Caenorhabditis elegans: one gene and its partners. The protein of the gene in region 1 purifies or fractionates together with the protein of each later gene. This does not show direct contact. Each region holds a gene or a part of one and is shown in the gene's direction. Other genes may lie near its edges.

What was found.
Region 2: the proteins of mop-25.2 (region 1) and B0222.5 fractionate together in Caenorhabditis elegans (co-fractionation; one large-scale study listed by BioGRID). This does not show direct contact.
Region 3: the proteins of mop-25.2 (region 1) and ndx-4 fractionate together in Caenorhabditis elegans (co-fractionation; one large-scale study listed by BioGRID). This does not show direct contact.

The regions. Positions count from the first base shown.
Region 1 is NC_003280.10:9,700,437-9,706,624, reverse strand, and holds mop-25.2 (MO25-like protein 2), read left to right. Parts: upstream 1-2,923; 5' UTR 2,924-2,925; coding exon 2,926-3,012; intron 3,013-3,061; coding exon 3,062-3,283; intron 3,284-3,656; coding exon 3,657-3,754; intron 3,755-3,800; coding exon 3,801-4,036; intron 4,037-4,080; coding exon 4,081-4,283; intron 4,284-4,496; coding exon 4,497-4,667; 3' UTR 4,668-5,216; downstream 5,217-6,188. Other genes in the region: Y53C12A.3 (Protein YIPF), read left to right, coding at 387-509, 633-728, 774-907, 976-1,117, 1,164-1,286, 1,336-1,459, 1,510-1,580; Y53C12A.10 (tRNA-uridine aminocarboxypropyltransferase 1), read left to right, coding at 1,845-2,295, 2,348-2,604; Y53C12A.7 (HEAT repeat-containing protein), read right to left, coding at 5,217-5,366, 5,412-5,531, 5,900-6,034. UniProt on the Caenorhabditis elegans protein: Regulates asymmetric cell division in Q.p neuroblast lineage. Plays a role in cell shedding during embryogenesis.
Region 2 is NC_003283.11:9,150,748-9,156,974, reverse strand, and holds B0222.5 (BPTI/Kunitz inhibitor domain-containing protein), read left to right. Parts: upstream 1-2,102; 5' UTR 2,103-2,105; coding exon 2,106-2,185; intron 2,186-2,425; coding exon 2,426-2,484; intron 2,485-2,528; coding exon 2,529-2,645; intron 2,646-2,703; coding exon 2,704-2,787; intron 2,788-2,829; coding exon 2,830-2,961; intron 2,962-3,006; coding exon 3,007-3,152; intron 3,153-3,201; coding exon 3,202-3,313; intron 3,314-3,535; coding exon 3,536-3,628; intron 3,629-3,915; coding exon 3,916-4,029; intron 4,030-4,072; coding exon 4,073-4,245; 3' UTR 4,246-4,654; downstream 4,655-6,227. Other genes in the region: B0222.15 (Activin_recp domain-containing protein), read left to right, coding at 239-326, 380-440, 499-559, 1,220-1,360.
Region 3 is NC_003279.8:13,791,608-13,796,847, reverse strand, and holds ndx-4 (Bis(5'-nucleosyl)-tetraphosphatase [asymmetrical]), read left to right. Parts: upstream 1-2,695; 5' UTR 2,696-2,707; coding exon 2,708-2,938; intron 2,939-3,923; coding exon 3,924-4,109; 3' UTR 4,110-4,209; downstream 4,210-5,240. Other genes in the region: Y37H9A.5 (uncharacterized protein), read left to right, coding at 327-457, 528-549; ccct-1 (Coiled-coil and C2 domain-containing protein 1-like), read right to left, coding at 4,683-4,796, 5,218-5,240. UniProt on the Caenorhabditis elegans protein: Asymmetrically hydrolyzes Ap4A to yield AMP and ATP.

The DNA.
Region 1 (6,188 bases):
CTCATTTTTCAACCATTATTCTCTCGAAAAGAATGTTTTCCGGTGGTTTTTAATATTTTTCTCTTCATCAAAGCTTTAATTTCAGTGTGCTTTTTACTTTTTTACCCGAAAATACCGATTTTAATGAATGTTTCTTATTAATTTTCTATTAAATTCAGCTTTCATGAAATTGGCAATAAACAAGCCATAAAATATAAAATTTGAACGAGGCGCCATTAACGTCTGTCCAATGGAGCATGGTTGCACACCAGCAAGTTGTCGTCACTGAATTGATTTCTCAATCATTTTTTTGCTGTGAAAATGTTTATTTTTATATATTTTTATCTGATTTTTAATTTTTATTAATAGCAGACTTTAAATTGAAATTATTGAAATATATTCCAGTGATGGAACCAACGTATTACGGCCAGGAAACGGAAAATACTCGACAACGATCGAACAGTAATGCTGGAGGAAGCCCCGATGAACAGAATCCACAATTTGGAATGCAAGCGCAATTGGGAAAGATGGTTTGTTTTTTTAAAATTAATTTAATTTAGAATATAAAACGAAAAAAAATAATTCAAAAAAGTTTCGGTTTCTTGAAAAGAACCTTGATTGCATTAAAGCATTTTTGATTTTCAAAAATTCAGATGTGGGAAGCTGGATCAAAACAGGTTCAAGACACATTTCAATCTTATGGTCGTATCGATTTGTTTCGCCCTTATTTCGATGTCGATCCAGCAGAGGTTTGAAGAAAAATTCACAATTAAGCTTTAAACATGTATTTATAGGTCCGAACTCGTCTTATTCGGTCATTTATCCCACGAAAACCATCGCAAATACAAGTTTCACCGGATTTATATGGCCCGACTATGCTCGTACTCACCATGGTGGCGCTATTGCTGTATAACATGAAAACCAGCGGGTTCGTGTTTATTTTTATCTGTTTTTAGTAAAAAATCAAAATTTCAAATAAAATAAAAATGATTTCAGAATTGTAATTCAAAATGGAACGTTAATGGGTACGGCAATGTTCACATGCTTTGGTAGCTGGATGCTCATTTCTGGAGCACTTTGGATTGCGTGCTTTTTGTTAGCTGCTGAGCAACCATTTTTAACGATATTGTCGAGCTTTGTAAGTTAAAAAAAATAAATAGAACACCAAGAATAATTGTTTTCAGGGCTATTCTCTAACTTCACAATGCCTCGTACTTCTGTTAACCTCGCTTTTTCACTCATCTCATGATCATTTATTCTTCTTCGTGCTCCTCGCCAGTTTCTGTGTACCTTCAGCGTTAAGAATGGTTAGCTTAAAATAAAACTGAAAAAATAAATAAAAATTTTGAAATTCAGGGCCTAATAGTGTGCAATCAGTCTCGTCTTCCCGCGAATCGACTTTTACTTATTGGAATCGCAATTGCAGCTCACTTATTGCTGATCATCTATCTCCATTTCGGTTTCCACGTAGTATTAGAAGGTAATAATATTTCTATTAGAAATTTGTGTCTTAAAAATGTAAAAATTCAGAACTCGACGAAATGGTTGGAGATGCCATCGTGGATGTGAATGCTATCAAAGAAACACTTCCAGTCGCATAATTATAGTTATTTTTTTATTTTTAGCCAACGAGATGTATACAAATTGTGATGATTTTCGCTCATTTAACACGGGATATTTAATGATTTTATATTTCTTGATTCTATGGTTGTATTATTTATTGTTTTTTAGTCCTTATTTATTAAAATCTTCTCCGAACATGTATTAAACTGTTTTTTTTGCTAATCTGAAAGGTTGAGAGCCTTGTTCTATATTAATTATATTTTAAGTTTTCAGATTTTCAAGACATTATTTACAGAGTTCCCATGTCAGTTATCAGCGAGCATCAGGTCCAACTCTCGAGCTTCGATCCCATTGAAAATTGTGTGAAATCTACGTGTCCAGGATGCAAATCAAATCGAAAATATTTCTGTTATGATTGTCGAACTCCTATGCCCGGAGTTTTTACGCCAACTGTAAAGCTTCCCTGTGCCGTCGACATCGTCAAGCATCCAATGGAGAAAAATAGTAAAAGCAGTGCTCTTCACTGTAAAATTGTGGCTCCTGATCAAACTCGAGTCTTTGATTATCCAAATGTTCATGATTATTCACAAGATTCTGAAGATGAACGGCAAGGAACTGCAATCATTTTTCCGAGTAAATCTGCAATTTCTGTTGAGGAATTTGTAAAAACAAGAGGACCGATCAAACGAATTGTTGTATTAGATTGCACGTGGTTTCAAGTTGGTGTTATGCAGAAGACACCTCAAATTCAAGGTATATACTAATTAAAATCTTAAATCGTAATAATAATAATCAGATTTTTAAGGACTCCAACACGTATCTCTTCAATCATACCGTACTGCATTCTGGCGGCCTCAACACAACGTTCCCGAAACGGGTCTCGCCACGATCGAAGCAATTTATTATTCGCTTAGAGAATATCAAGAATTGGGTCTCGGACGGAAATATAGTGGAGAATTCGATGATCTTCTTTATTGGTTTTTCCATACAAAACATTTTGTCGATGGGAAACAGGCTGATTATTTGAGGCGGAAAGATGAAGAGAGAAGCGAAGAAAAATAATATTAAATGCTTTTCTAAATTTATTTAAAAAATTTTTCAGTTTTTGTTTTTTCATTGTTGAATATTTGAATTTTGACTTGTTAGAAATCTCAGTTGTTGTTTGTTACTTTACACTCAATTCTTTCTCCTCTGCGATTTTCCTCGATTTGCATGACCGGTTTCCCAAATTTTTCCACACATGTGAAAGAATAAAAAAGAAAATGTTTCCCTTCCGTCGTATTTTTCTATTTTTAATCGTTTAATCCACTTGTTTTAAAAACAATCGAACATACTTTTGACGAGTCTTTCAGATTATTGATTTTTTCAAAGAGAATTCCAGTTATGTTGAAGCCGTTGTTCGGAAAAGCGGACAAAACACCCGCCGACGTGGTGAAGAATCTGCGGGATGCATTGCTGGTTATTGATCGAGTGAGATTCTTTTTTTAAATATCATTTTTATTTATTTTAAATTTTCCAGCATGGAACCAACACAAGTGAGCGGAAAGTCGAAAAAGCTATCGAAGAAACAGCGAAAATGTTGGCATTGGCAAAAACGTTCATTTACGGATCAGACGCAAACGAGCCGAACAATGAGCAAGTGACCCAGTTGGCTCAGGAAGTTTATAACGCAAATGTGCTCCCGATGCTCATTAAACATTTGCACAAATTTGAATTCGAATGTAAGAAGGATGTGGCATCGGTATGTGGATTCTAAAAATCAAAAATTATATAACGCAGTCACGAAATGTTGCAACTTTCGCACCAAAAATACGGTACGCGGTCTTGGCACGATACGTTTTTGCGAAATGTAAAAATTTAACAAGTTTCGATGAAAATATACTTATAATTATTTTTAAAAAAATTAAAAACACTCAAATTCGTGATAAAAACTAGATATGAAAATTTCGCAGCAACAAAAGTTTGAAAATACAGTACTCCTTAAAGGCACACACCCCTCTGCATTAAAAACAATTGAATTCGTCATGTCGAGACCGAGTACCGTATATTGGCGTCTGGTTGATATCAAGCTCTGAAAATTTTATATTTTTTAAATGAATAAATGATAATTTTAGGTGTTCAATAATTTGCTCCGTCGTCAAATTGGAACAAGATCACCAACTGTGGAATACTTGGCTGCAAGACCAGAAATTCTCATCACTCTTCTTCTTGGGTTAGTTCAAAGTCTAAAAGTTATCCAAAAAAAAAAAATTCTCTAGATACGAGCAACCAGATATTGCCCTGACATGCGGTTCGATGCTCCGTGAAGCTGTCCGCCATGAGCATCTTGCTCGAATTGTTCTCTATTCTGAATATTTCCAACGGTTCTTCGTTTTTGTTCAATCTGACGTTTTCGATATCGCCACTGATGCATTTTCTACATTCAAAGATTTGATGACAAAACATAAGAATATGTGTGCAGAGTATTTGGATAATAATTACGATCGATTTTTCGGTGAGAACTTTTGATATATTAAATAAAAAATTATGTTATTACAGGCCAATACTCGGCGCTCACAAACTCAGAAAACTACGTGACCCGACGCCAATCGCTGAAACTGCTCGGCGAGCTTCTCCTCGATCGACATAATTTCAGCACAATGAACAAATATATCACAAGTCCAGAGAATCTGAAAACAGTGATGGAATTGTTGAGAGACAAGAGACGGAATATCCAGTACGAGGCTTTCCACGTTTTTAAGGTATTTCTTTTGATATTTCAGATAAATATTTGGATTGAAAATAAAACAAGTTATTGTATGTGAATCAAACATCTTGAAAAATGGTTGAAGATGAAAAAAAGTCTTAAATTGAATTTTAAGAAGAATAAGTTTATTAATTTTACATCTTTACGTTTTATTCCAAGAAATTTAAGAAAATTTCCAAAAAAAATCTATAAAACCCCATAATTTCAGATCTTCGTCGCGAATCCAAACAAGCCACGTCCAATCACTGATATTTTGACAAGAAATCGTGATAAACTCGTAGAATTTCTCACTGCATTTCACAATGATCGAACTAACGACGAGCAATTCAATGACGAAAAGGCGTATCTCATCAAGCAGATACAAGAACTTCGTGTCTGATTACGGAATGTGACAAAAAATATTTTATTTAATTCTCACAATCCATATGTTTTTATTCCAATGTTTTATTTCTTTGTGAGTGGCTTTGTGTAGTGCATCCTTATCCTTATCAATATTCAAAAAAAAACCACAATTATCATTTGTGAAATTTTCGGGGGTTACTGTAGCTATAATATTAAGATACAGTAGTACCTCCCCGCCCTCCAATCGCCAAAAATTTTGTTCCATCCACACCTCGCTTTAGGCATCGATCTTTACCGTCTTTCTCTGCAAACAAAATATAATCGTTCCTTTAAAAGAATCCCCCATATTAAAATCATGTACGAATACAAAAATATCCATCCCCTTTCCGTCTGTTTTCCCTCTTATTTTACGGTTTTTCACATGTTAAGTTAAGGTTTATTTCCTTCTTCATCAAAGAATTTGATTTTCTCGCTCTATCCATGATCATTGTCTTTTTTTTTTGTTTTATGATATTTCAAACGATTTCTTGATTCTATTTTTATGACTTCAAATGTCAGAAACATCGATTTTTTAGCATGAAAATTTTCAAATCAAAGACGCTATAACAGTTCTCTTCTCATTCGACATCCTCTTCACATGCTTTTCGATAATTGATTTTCCCATTTTTTGATCTATAGTTCGGAGGCACTCAATCGCCTGGTCACGGACTTTGGGATGGGGAGAGCAGAATAACATCTTCAAGAAAGTTGACTTAAATACAAAATTTATTTTAAAATTTACCCCAAGCATCACGGGAATCAATAAATCCATCGACTTGCTCAGATCATCATTATTTGAATTTTCCGCAAGAATTTCCTGAATCTGAACGAGTGTTCTTGCTGGATTTTGAACAGAAGTCGGCTGAAAATTGACACATTTGCAAAAATTGAAAAATTCGCTTTTTGAAATCGCGCTCCAATGCCAAATAGAAACGCTCCGCCCTCAGGCGTTGGGTCTCGTTAGGTACGGCGGCAAAACTGAATTCAAACGTTTTGCTTGAAGACGGGTGAAATCAGGAAAAAATAATTGAAAAAGTTTGAATGTACGGATTTGCCGTGAATACCTCACGAGACCCAACATTTGGGGGCGGAGTGTGTCCAACTGGCCGTGGAGCGCGATTCAATAAACGCATTTTTATGCGTCTCTATAATAAGACGAGAACGGTACGGTAGATTGAAAAGTTTGACTCGTGCAAAGACCATCTTTCTGCGAAAAGTAGCAAAACTTACTTTATCAGCTTTTGCAACGATTTGTTCGTTTTTCTCCTTCTTTTTCCCACTTGGTTTCGATTTTTTGTGATTCTTCATTTTTTCACGAAGCATGTCAGCCATCATTTCCGTTTGGATTTCTTCTGGCACTTTCATTTTCGTGGAATTTTTTTCAGGAATGAACAATATTTGAACAATCTAAATACCGTGAACTCTCTAAAAATAATATATAAAAAATATATACCCCCCCCCCCCACCCCCAATCAATCTACGTTTCACCAATAAAAACGAAGAGTAATTGAAAGAATTC
Region 2 (6,227 bases), on another chromosome or scaffold:
AAATATCCGCATCATAAAAACCATACAGTTCAAACAAATTGCCAACAACTAACCAAAACTTGAACCAATTCCTTCACACTAATGGAATTAGTGTTTGTTCTTATTTTGTTTGATCTAAAACTATATTTACTTATTCCTTTTAAATTCAACTCTTCATCTCAAACTCTGTGGAAATGACACTCCTAAAAAGTTAAATTTCAGTTGAACTCCGTATTAAACCAAGTGAACGGAAACAATTATGAGCGTGCACCCTGTCATTATCTGTCTTTTCATTTTCTTTTTCATTTTGCCGCCTTCTGCAGATACTACTGTGAAGTGTTTTAAAGGTACGTTGAATGAGCAGAAGAGCATTTCGTGTGCGTGACGAGTGATTCTTTAGGGTTCTCGGGAGATGGAAGGCCGTTCAAACAACGTCTTTGTCAGACAGAATATTGCATAAAGTGGGTTGAAAGAAGAAAAAGAAAAGGCAGCAAGTTTATTGGAATTTTCATTTTGCAGAACGACAGAGCCAACTGGCGGAGCTACTTACGGATGTGATGACTTTACGCCGTTTTGCAAAGTGAGCGAACAAAACGAGTTTGAAATTGAAAGAACAAATGTGCAAAGTGAAAATCAGAAAAAAAATTGTCGAAAAGATTGAATGTGGCGCAGCCCTGGTGTAGATTTTCTGGAAATTAATTATAAAAACCATACTCATTGAAAGAGCAATGTCAACTTTAACAGAAAACAAATACTAGAAGCGGACAAAACCCATATGTAGCGGACAAAGCCCAATGCTACATACTGTAACTATGGAAAAATAACGGAATACACTTTCGCTTGTAGAAAATGAGTGGGGTCAATGCCGGTTTTATCTAAATGTATGTATTGTCAATTTGCCAAAAAATGACCAACAGTGAATAAAAATCACAATAAGGATTATTTAAACTTAAATTTAAAAACAGCGTATTTTTCTATCGTCTGACACTTAACAATGGTTCCGGTCTTTGAAAAAAATATTAGAAAAATACATTCCTATATGTTATACTTGAAGCTCGATTCCCGTATTGTTTCTCAAAAGTATAATTTATGATTCTTAGTGATAGAAATTCATTCTAGAACGTTTTGTTGTTTTCTTATTCTAAAAACTCGTGAGTAACGTTTTCTTCCAGTGATTTCCATAGAAACTTCTAGACTTTTCTATTCTTTTAATCTTTTCTCAATGTTTTCTTTTTTTCAGAAAGACGAATGCGTGGTCACTTCGAAACAAAGTAAAGTCTGTTGCTGTAATACTGATCTGTGTAACTCTTCTCCAATCACTTTCTGGCCTGTGTCTCTACTATTCTTCATTTTATTTTCTTATTTTATGTCTAGTTATTAGTTTGAACTTTATTTATTTAAAAAAATATTCCGACAAAAACGGGTTATTTTCTGATGATTCACTTCTTTTCCCGAATAAATGTTTTTTCAACTAAAGGTAATTCTGTTAGTCAAACCAAATTTATTGGTGTAAAAACGAATCCAAAGAGAATAAGAGAATGTACCAGTTTTATCGATTGATCATTGCATTCTAGTAGTTGACATAATATGATAAAAAGGAAGTAAACCTTTTTTTTCGTTTTTCGTCGAACAAAGATTCGTTCAGCAATTGATTCCTTTTCTTGTTCTCAACTAGCACTGATACTGCTTAGTTTTTTCTTTTGAAAAAAGATACTGTTTCAATTTTTAATCTTTCTTGATTTTTTGAATCTTCGGAGAGAAGAAAGAATATAACTTGGCTTTCATATCCTAAGAAAATTATTTTTTTCTCGAATTTTTCCTTTATTTGAAATATTTTTGTTAATGTTTCCAAATATTTGTGAACACTTTTTGATTCACCTATTTCATATGCACAGAATTTATGTACATAAAAATAACTTACATAAAATTTCATCGGCGAGTGATGAAAATAACCAAAAGCCAGTAATTCCCAAATACAATAGATCACTCAATGATCAACTCATAGCTCTTACTATTTTTTGTTCTCGAAAATCAAATAATGTTTGTTTCACTAACTAGTTATTATTTACCTTCATTCATTTCCTCGTTTCAATCATTCCTTCGAACGCAATTTTTTGATTTCCGGCATGCGAGCTTTCTGCATAATATTACTTGTTGGATTCACCCAAGTCAATGCTCTGTTTGGAGACAGATTATTACGAGCCAGGTTAGTTCTTTGGAACAAAAATTGTTAGGCACAATTTATGAAAAACCAATTTTGAAATAATTAGAACCCTAGTAAGTGAAAATATTTTTCAACAGTTCGGTGTCCACTATTAAAAAAATAACAGTTTTGTTTAAGAATTTTATATTAATAAAGTGTTGAAGCAACTGGTGGAAATTTTAATTTTTCAACATTACTTTGCTTATTTCAAATTTATTATAAAAATGTAATATTTTATTACAGAAACCCAAAAACTGGACCATGCACGTTGAATGATGATGGACTAAAATGCAATGAAAATGGTGATTCTAAACTTTAAATTATATTAATTTATTCATAATTTTAGGATACTATGAAACTGTACAATGTAACTCTGAATCATGTTATTGTGTTACTCCTCACACTGCACTTGTTGCATACGACACACGAACCAACAATCCGAAAACCGCGCCAAAATGTGGAAGTAAGTAGAGACCATTCAATTTCCTAAGTTTTCCCAAAAGTGACGTTTATCGTTTCAGCTTGCCTTGTTTACCTCCAAAAGCTGTTTGCCGACGGAGATCCTCCAGAAAATAGTTTCGTACCAAAATGTGACGTCGGAAAAGGTATGAAAAAATAATGCTAAAGATAAAATATAAGTATTTAAGGTGATTTTGAGCCTGTACAATGTGACAGTAAGAAGAACCAATGCTACTGCGTGGACACAAATACTGGAAGAGAAATACAAGGGACACGAAAACCATTGAGTAACACAACAAAGATGAATTGCATGCAAATTGGTAGTTCAAAATCATGAATAATTTAAAATAATTCGATAATTTCAGATTTCTCCATCGATTCGTCAGCATTCCCCGCTTTTGAAAAACCAGATCCTGCCAAACCGAAAAATGATCAACCGATTGGAAAACCATGGTGTGCAAGTAACAGAAATGCTGGACATACATGCAATCAAAATAAAACTTCGATAAGAGTAAGTTGATTTTAAACCTAATAAAAAATCGGGCAAATATTTTTTTTAGTACTGGTTTGACGTTGAAACCTTCCAATGTTTCCCATTCGAACACAAAGGCTGTGGTGGAAATCAGAACTCCTATAGAACAAGTAGTGAATGCTATTTTGACTGTGTCTTGCGTAAGTTATCCACGTATTGTTTTCATGAATATAAGTGACGTTCACCAAGGAAAATGATCACAAGTAGGCCTATGGTACCAAAAATTGTAAAATGTTTCATACATTTTTGACCCAAAAGTTTGAAAACTCTGAGCCCCTCATTGACGTATTCAATTTTTAACTCAAAAATTCAATTTTTAACTCAAAAATCAAATACGATAATTGAATGCAGTTTTATTTCAGAAGACTACTTCAGTTGTGCAATGCAATCACAACCAGCTAGAAAGTCGAATGGACAATGGTATTCTTGCCCAGAAGGCCCAGATGGTCCACCAGGTATGTTTTGAGATTGATGGTTTTTTAATAAAACTTTCGAACTTTCTACTGCATAAATAATATTTGAAAATTAGCTACAAATTTTTGTGGTGAAAAACGAAACTTACAATTCCGGTTTATAAAATGTTATTTTTTATTTCATTTAAAGGATCCTGTTTTTCGGATCTGAGCTGTTTAAACGTTAGAAATACAATGTTTTAAAAACGAGTATTAGTTAGTTTAAAACTTTATTAAAGTAATAATGAACATTAAAAAAACTAACTGAAATATTGCTTCATATTTTTCAGGCTTCAAGACTACTACAACTCCAGGCCCAAAACTAACCTCTGATGGTTGTCCAAAGGGATATATTTGTTCTATGGGAGCATTCTTTGGTATTTGCTGCGAGGAGAACTTGACAAGTAAGTAATCATATTAGCGACAACCAAAACACAAAGTTTCCAGATCGCTACCAAGCAGCATTCAAACCATTATGCAAAAACAAGAAAGAAGCTTTGCAAACGAAACAGGACGATTGGTCGAGTGCAATGCTCGGAAAATCATGTTCCGATAGATTCTGTCCAAGCAGTCATACTTGTGAACATAACGAGTTTTTTGCATATTGTTGTCCGCGTTAATATGTGTGTTTTGACGTTTGTTTTCTTGCCCATTCGAACCGCCCTTCAATTCACATTCTAATTCAGGTTGTAATAAATAAGAAAAAGTATTTGTAGTTCTTTTGTTTTTCACAATGATATGTAATGTATATTAAACGACCTTTCATCTCTTCTGTCCTTTTCTTCTGTGTTGGTTTTCCACCCAGACAAATTGCCGGCCCCCTACTTTAAACGTGTCTTCTCATAGCATTGATTATTGATGCCTATGTGATATCAATATCTTTTATATTCATTTTCCCTCCTAAAAGAAATATGTTCAGAAAACTGCACCGAAACAAAGTCTTCGACCATACTAGATACTTGTTGATTTCTGATAGTGTCCTGTTCACCCCATAAAAATGTGTTAAATGCAGCAAGCAACAAAGTATATTTGTGATTGAAATTTGATGCGAATAGAATTTAAAAATAGAGTGATCACAGTTCTAGCAGAAAACGAATTTTCACAAATGAATCGGAATGATGACTTGGTCTATTTGAATTCGCTCAATGTCTCCGCAGACATGATGTGTACCCAAAAATGACTTGATTGATGATTTCACAAATGTTCCAGTTTAGTTTCGTGCTTTATGTGGAATATGCTACAAAACGCTAAAATACGATAATCGAAGGCTTCAAAACTAAACTGCGGTGGACTTTTCTAGCTCGAAATATGCAACTGAAACAGTTGTTGGGCTATTCTTTGCTCAAGAAAAAATTATTACGGCACAACAACTGTAATTTTTTTTTCTAGAAAAAAATTCATTTGAAAAATGGACGCTGATGAAAAAGTTATTAAATGAGCCGCGTAACTACATTGAAAAAATGTTAAACGTATTTTCAGAAATTGTTTTGTTAAATTGTAGAAAGAAGAATAATCAAAAATAAAACTCATAGTCAGGTAACTTTTTTTTGAATATTTTAAAGCAGAAAACGAAGGATCTCGTTTAAACTTATCAAGATTGTTTTTTGATGTCTTAGTTCAGTGTAGTTCTCTAAATAAAACAAGAAATATAGGTTTATCCGTATGTTTGCAGAAAATTAGTTCAACAGATCAAATGTTCATATTAACGTGACTTTTAAAAACATGAAAGACGGATCAGTTCAAAGTACGTTTCCGAAGTGAACACATGGAGATATTCAAAGTACATGCTGATCAAAAGAGCTTGAAATTAAAATTCGAAAATGTTCAATTGCCCTATATGCAAATTGAGAAAAACGTGCAAGTGGGGATCTTGTTAAAGATTTTGTTGTCTTAAACTTCCAGTCAAAATTTTGGCGGATTGCCAAATTTTTAAACAATACAATCTTTTAAGAAAATAAAAAGCAATGTCACATGTTCCACTCCTAGAATTTTTTACACGAATAAAAACAAAATTATAAAATTCGTAAATCGTAGAAATAATTTCTTTTGGTCTATTTCCAAAATTATTAATGAAAAAAATTGGTAATTGTCACTTTTTGACAGTAACTAAAAATTTTCCAACAATAATTTTGAAGGTAATTTTGAAACCATAGCAGTAGTTTCATATACTTTCCTCACTTGTGCTGCTCCTCCTTTAAAATGATACAGTCTACAAATCGAAGAGACTTCGAAAAATCGATAAAAGTTCGAGCAAAAACTATTAAAAACATTTCGATTTGAACCATAATTTAAAAAAAAATCCAGAACAAGATATAAACTATCAAAATTGAGAAATGAAGTGCAGAATAGAGATTACGGCGTTTTTAATAGGCCCGATGTTCAACGATTAAGACTTGGTGTATAGCTTATATATTAACATGCAGTACTAAGTTTCAATCGGTAAATTTGCTTTATTGTGTGATAGGATCGTATATTTTTCTATTTTCAAAAGCTTAAAACTAAATTTTTAATTTTAATAAGTTGGTAGTAAATCGTGAGCAAAAAAAAAGAAAAAAGAAAATTGGTCCCAGTCTACAAACGTTGCTGAAAAATTAGAAAAAAA
Region 3 (5,240 bases), on another chromosome or scaffold:
CGTTTTTTCCGCTTAGTTTTAAGAATTATCGTGAGAGAACGGATTGTTGGGCGAATGAAGCCGTTTCATATATGTTCTCGATGAAAACGATAATGTTAATAAGCTTTACATGTACTTTTCGGTTCTATACTTTCTCAATCCGTCTTTTCCTTATCTAACCAGCGTTTTTTTCAGGGTTTCGTCCGTTTCCGGGCCTCAGTGAGCGCGGGCAGATCGGAGAGTTCGAGATCGTCGAGAGAGAGTGAGAAGTTTAAGTAGCTCACACAGGTTTGTGTTGAAATCGAATTGCAAAGTGAAAAGTACAAATTTTGAAGGCAACACGATGCATGGAAGTCGAAGAATCACACCAATCACAACCAGAACAACACGGCTCACCGTATTGGAATCACGAAGCCAAAGATTTTCCTCTCCATAGAAGGAAGTCGACGCCAAGTTCATCAAGAACCTCCGCTTCGAGGTTAGATATAGATCCGGGGATCTTTCTTTATAATAATCCGAAAATCCCTAAAATCAAATTTCCGTTTCAGGTTCTCGACTTCCACAATGTAAAATTCCAAGACTACAACGTTCTGACCGATCAGGAGCTGAGAGAAGGCGTCAAAATCTTCAGCTAATGGCCAACAATTCCACAAGTCTATGTGAAGGGAGAGTTCGTCGGCGGATGTGATATTCTCATTTCAATGCACAAAGATGGAGAGATTTCCGACGAATATGGGAAACAATAAATGCTTTTTCATGTTAAAAATAAAAATTTAGATTTTTTTACTCGAATAAATCATCCAGATTGTATTATTTATTCAGCAAAAAGTGCTCGGTAGGTTGGTCGAAGACGAGTGAAGGGAATTAAATTTCAATAAATAAATGGGGCTCATTTTTACAATAAAATCAGTGAAAAGGGGGTAATTGATAAAAAATCGAAATGTATCCTTATTTCCACAACTTCTTAATGGACATATTCTTCTTCTTAATGGACATATTCTTCATTCTTCTCCGAATCCTTCTGCATAACCTTTCCAACAGCCATCTCGAAATCCTCTCGTGTCACATGAATACGTCGCTAACGGAGCGCAAACATACCAGCCTCGAAACAGACTGACTTGACTTCGGCTCCCGATGCTCCAGGAATTTGCTCGGTGTCGAGGATGTCGATACGGTTGGTTGCCATGATAACCTGAACATATATATTTAGAAATTAGAAAGTTTTTGCATTTTCCCTACCTTAATACTCTTCTTCGTTGCCTCAAATCCATCGAGTTGATTGATCAGCTCGAGCATAGTTCTCTGAACTTCCGAATCTCCTCCACTAGATTCTTTAACTCTGCTTGGTCCGATTGGATCGATTTAATCCATGAAAATGATCGATGGAGCATGCTCACGAGCCATCACGAAGACTTCATGCACCTGAAAGCATTGTAAATGTAAAGATTATTATGTCGATCCACTTACCATTCGTGTTTATTCTCCAATAAACTTCTGCACCAACTCGGAGCCGGAAACTCGAATAAATGTGCACTCAGTGTGATGAGCAACTGCACGAGCTAACAATGCTTTTCCAGTTCGTGGTGGTCCATAGACCAGTTTTCAACAAAAAATTAACTTTAAAAATGACAAAAAGTTATATTTTAAAGGAATGAAAGAAAATAAAATAAAAATCACAATCTCTCGTAAATCCTGCCCGCTTGTCTGCATTTGCGCGTCAATTTATGCGCCGCGTGTTTGCGGCCAATACACCGAAAAACACCGATGAGACAGCTTGACTACACGTGAGCGCCGAGAAGCTTTTGCTCTGTGAGCTTCAAATAGGAAGCTATAAACTTTCGATTTGAAGCCCAACGAGCAGCTTTTCGGCTCTGCTGGGGCGCAGAGTTGCGTTCGGTGGCAGAAACTGGAAAATTCTGAAATTTTCTAAACTAATTTTCGAATTTCCTGCCATTTTTACCCCTAAAATCAACTTTTTTCGAAATTTGGTTCATTTTCTTGTAAGCTACAGTTTTGACGTACTTTTAGAGCTACAGTACTCCAAAATTTTTTTCTAATTTTTAAAATGTTTTTTAGTAATTCAGAAACGCGAAAATGTTTCCAAAAATCAATTTGTCTATAAAAATTGCAGAAATTGAAAAAAACTAGAAGTTTTCTCTATATTTTTTCTAGAAAACCAGAAAATTCTTTTTTTTTTAATTTTTGTAGCAAAATTTCTTAGGAAAATCCAATTATTCACCGAAAAAAAAATTTTTAGGCCGTCTAAACGTCCTTTTCGAATTTTTTTTTCAGTTTTTCTCAATTTTTGCCAAAAAAAATTGGATTTTTCAGTCAAAAATTCAAATTTTCACCTTAAAATTGCACAAAACCGCCCCAGCAGCGCCGAGAAGCTTTTGCTCTGTGAGCTCCAAATAGGAAGCTATAAACTTCCGATTTGAAGCCCAAAGAGCAGCTTTTCGGCTCTGCTGGGGCGCTGAGTTGCGTTCGGAGCACCAAACTCGAAAATTTGAAATTTTCAGCGTAAAGTTTACCGAAAATATGTTTTTGAAAAAAAATTCCGATTTTTCTGATCAAAATTTCGAGTTTCCCGCCATTTTACGCCTAAAATTAATTTTTTTCAAAATTTGGAGCTTTTTGTCGTGTGCTCCTATTTTTTTTAATCCAATTTTAACAAAAAATCGATATTTTCTAAAAAAAAAAATCCAGTTTTTTTCAGCGCCAACAAAAAATGGTCGTAAAAGCCGCGGGACTTGTGATCTACCGGAAGTTGGCGGGAAAAATCGAGTTTCTCCTGCTTCAAGCCTCCTATCCACCACATCACTGGACCCCACCAAAAGGTCACGTGGATCCAGGAGAAGATGAATGGCAGGCGGCAATTCGTGAGACTAAGGAAGAAGCTAATATTACAAAAGAGCAACTGACAATTCATGAAGATTGTCATGAAACACTCTTTTATGAGGTGTGTGTGTGTGTGTAAGAAAATCGATAATTTTTATCGATTTTTTGATGGAAAAATCGATAATTTCCGGCGAAGTATGATATATTCAAAATTTTCGAATTTTTTAATGAAAAAATCGATAATTTAATTTCGATAATCAATAAATTATCGTTTTTCCGATGGAAAAATCGAAAAAATTAAAAATTAAATAATATCCTGCGAAAATCGATAATTTCGAATTTTTCGAATTTTTAATAAAAAATCGATTTAAAAAATTTCGAAAAAAAATCGATATTTTCGAAATTTTCGATTAAAAACCCGAAAAATCGATAATTTTGTGCGAATTTTCGAAAAAAAAATAAATTATCGATTTTTTAAATAGAAAATCGAAAATTTTTTTTGAATTTTTTTTTTTTTTGAATTTTTTTGAATTTTTTAAATGGAAAAATCGATAATTTATTTTAGAAAATCAACAAATTATCGATTTTTCTAAAACTAAATTTTCATTGAAAAATTTTTTGAAAAAAATCTCCGATTTTTCACCAAAAATTCAATTTTTCTGCAATTTTGCGGAAAAAAACACGAAAATATCGATTTTTTCGGAAAACTTATCCATTTTAAGCTTTTTTTGGGAAAATTCGGGATTTTTCGATTTTCTGATAGAAAAATCGATATTTACCGGCGAAAACGAAAGAAATTTCCTTTTTTCGTAAATTTTGTAAAAAAAATTGATTTTTTTTTCACAAGACCCTGAAAATTCAATTTTTTCCAGGTTTTTACACTGAAAAAAATTTTTTTTTTGGTTTTGTGAAATGTATCGATTTTTAGGAAAAATGGCAAAATTTCCGGGAAAATTCTGGAAAAAAACGCAATTTTTCCGAATTTTGAAAGAAAAAATCGATAAAAAATTGGGTTTTCAGCGAATTTACATATTTTTTAAATCGATTTTTCATTTGAAAATTGAACTAAACACTAAAAAAAATCCCAAATTTCGCTAAATTTACAGGCAAAAGGGAAGCCAAAATCAGTGAAATATTGGCTCGCCAAGCTCAACAATCCAGACGACGTTCAACTATCTCATGAACATCAAAATTGGAAATGGTGTGAATTGGAAGATGCTATCAAAATTGCCGATTACGCTGAAATGGGCAGCCTTCTCCGCAAATTTTCCGCTTTTTTGGCCGGATTTTAACGATTTTTCACCGATAATTTCATATTTTTCGAAAAAAAATAATTTTCATTTATTTATTTAATGTAAACTTTTTATTTAATATAAATCTTTTCATACACAATTGTTCATGATGCTCTCTCTTTATCAAAAATATAATGCTCGTAATTATTAATGAATGCGTGTTGTCTCAGAGCCTGATAAAACAGATTTTTTTTCGAAAATTTCAAAAAGTTTTTTAGGGTTCAGAGATCAATTTTGAGTCCTCTAACTGTCCTTTTTTTTAATTTAGGCAAAAAAATAATTTTTCTGAAAACGTACAAAACCATCAATATTTGAAAAAGGGCAATTTTTTAAGGTTTAGAGATCAATTTTGAGTCCTCTAACTTAAAAAATAACCATTTTAGAGAAGTTTCAAAATTGTGATTTTTGCCGTTTTTTTTGCCATTTTTGCCACTTTTTTCTAAATTCAGCATATATAAATGTTACTCCTCTGAAAAAATTAAAAAGTCGTTAACTCTTCCGATAAACCAAATATTTATATTATATTCAAAAAAAAACACATTTAAAACATCGAATCAAGTAGAAAGAATCCATTTAATTATCTAAAATGAGCCATTTCTGGGCAATATGTTGAGCTTTTGCATCACCAATTGGTTGACGAATTCGAACTTTCGCCGACAAGAGACCACCAACTGCTTTACGGCCGTCCTGAAACGAGAAAAATTAGAAAATTTTACGAAAAATCTAATTTTTTATCGGAAATTCGAAATTTTCCGTTAAAATCAGTACGTTTTTGAAAAAAAAAAAAAAAATTTTGCCCAAAGAAAAAAAAAAGTACAGTCATTAGATGGCTGAAAAATGAAAATGGGCAAAAATAAAAAGTTGTCTAAATTGATTGAAAACGGGTAATTAATATATGCAGAATTCAGAAAAACTAGGTTTAACCCGTCAAAAAACATTAAAAATGGCAAAAAAGTGGCAAAAATCACAATTTTGAAACTTCTCTAAAATGGTTCATTTTGAAGTTAGAGGACTCAAAATTGATCTACAAACACTAAAAAATTGCTCTTTTCATAATTTGATGTTTCTGAAGAAAATCAATAAATTACAAAAAAAAATCGATAATCACCTTCAATGGAAGTGATTCTTCCA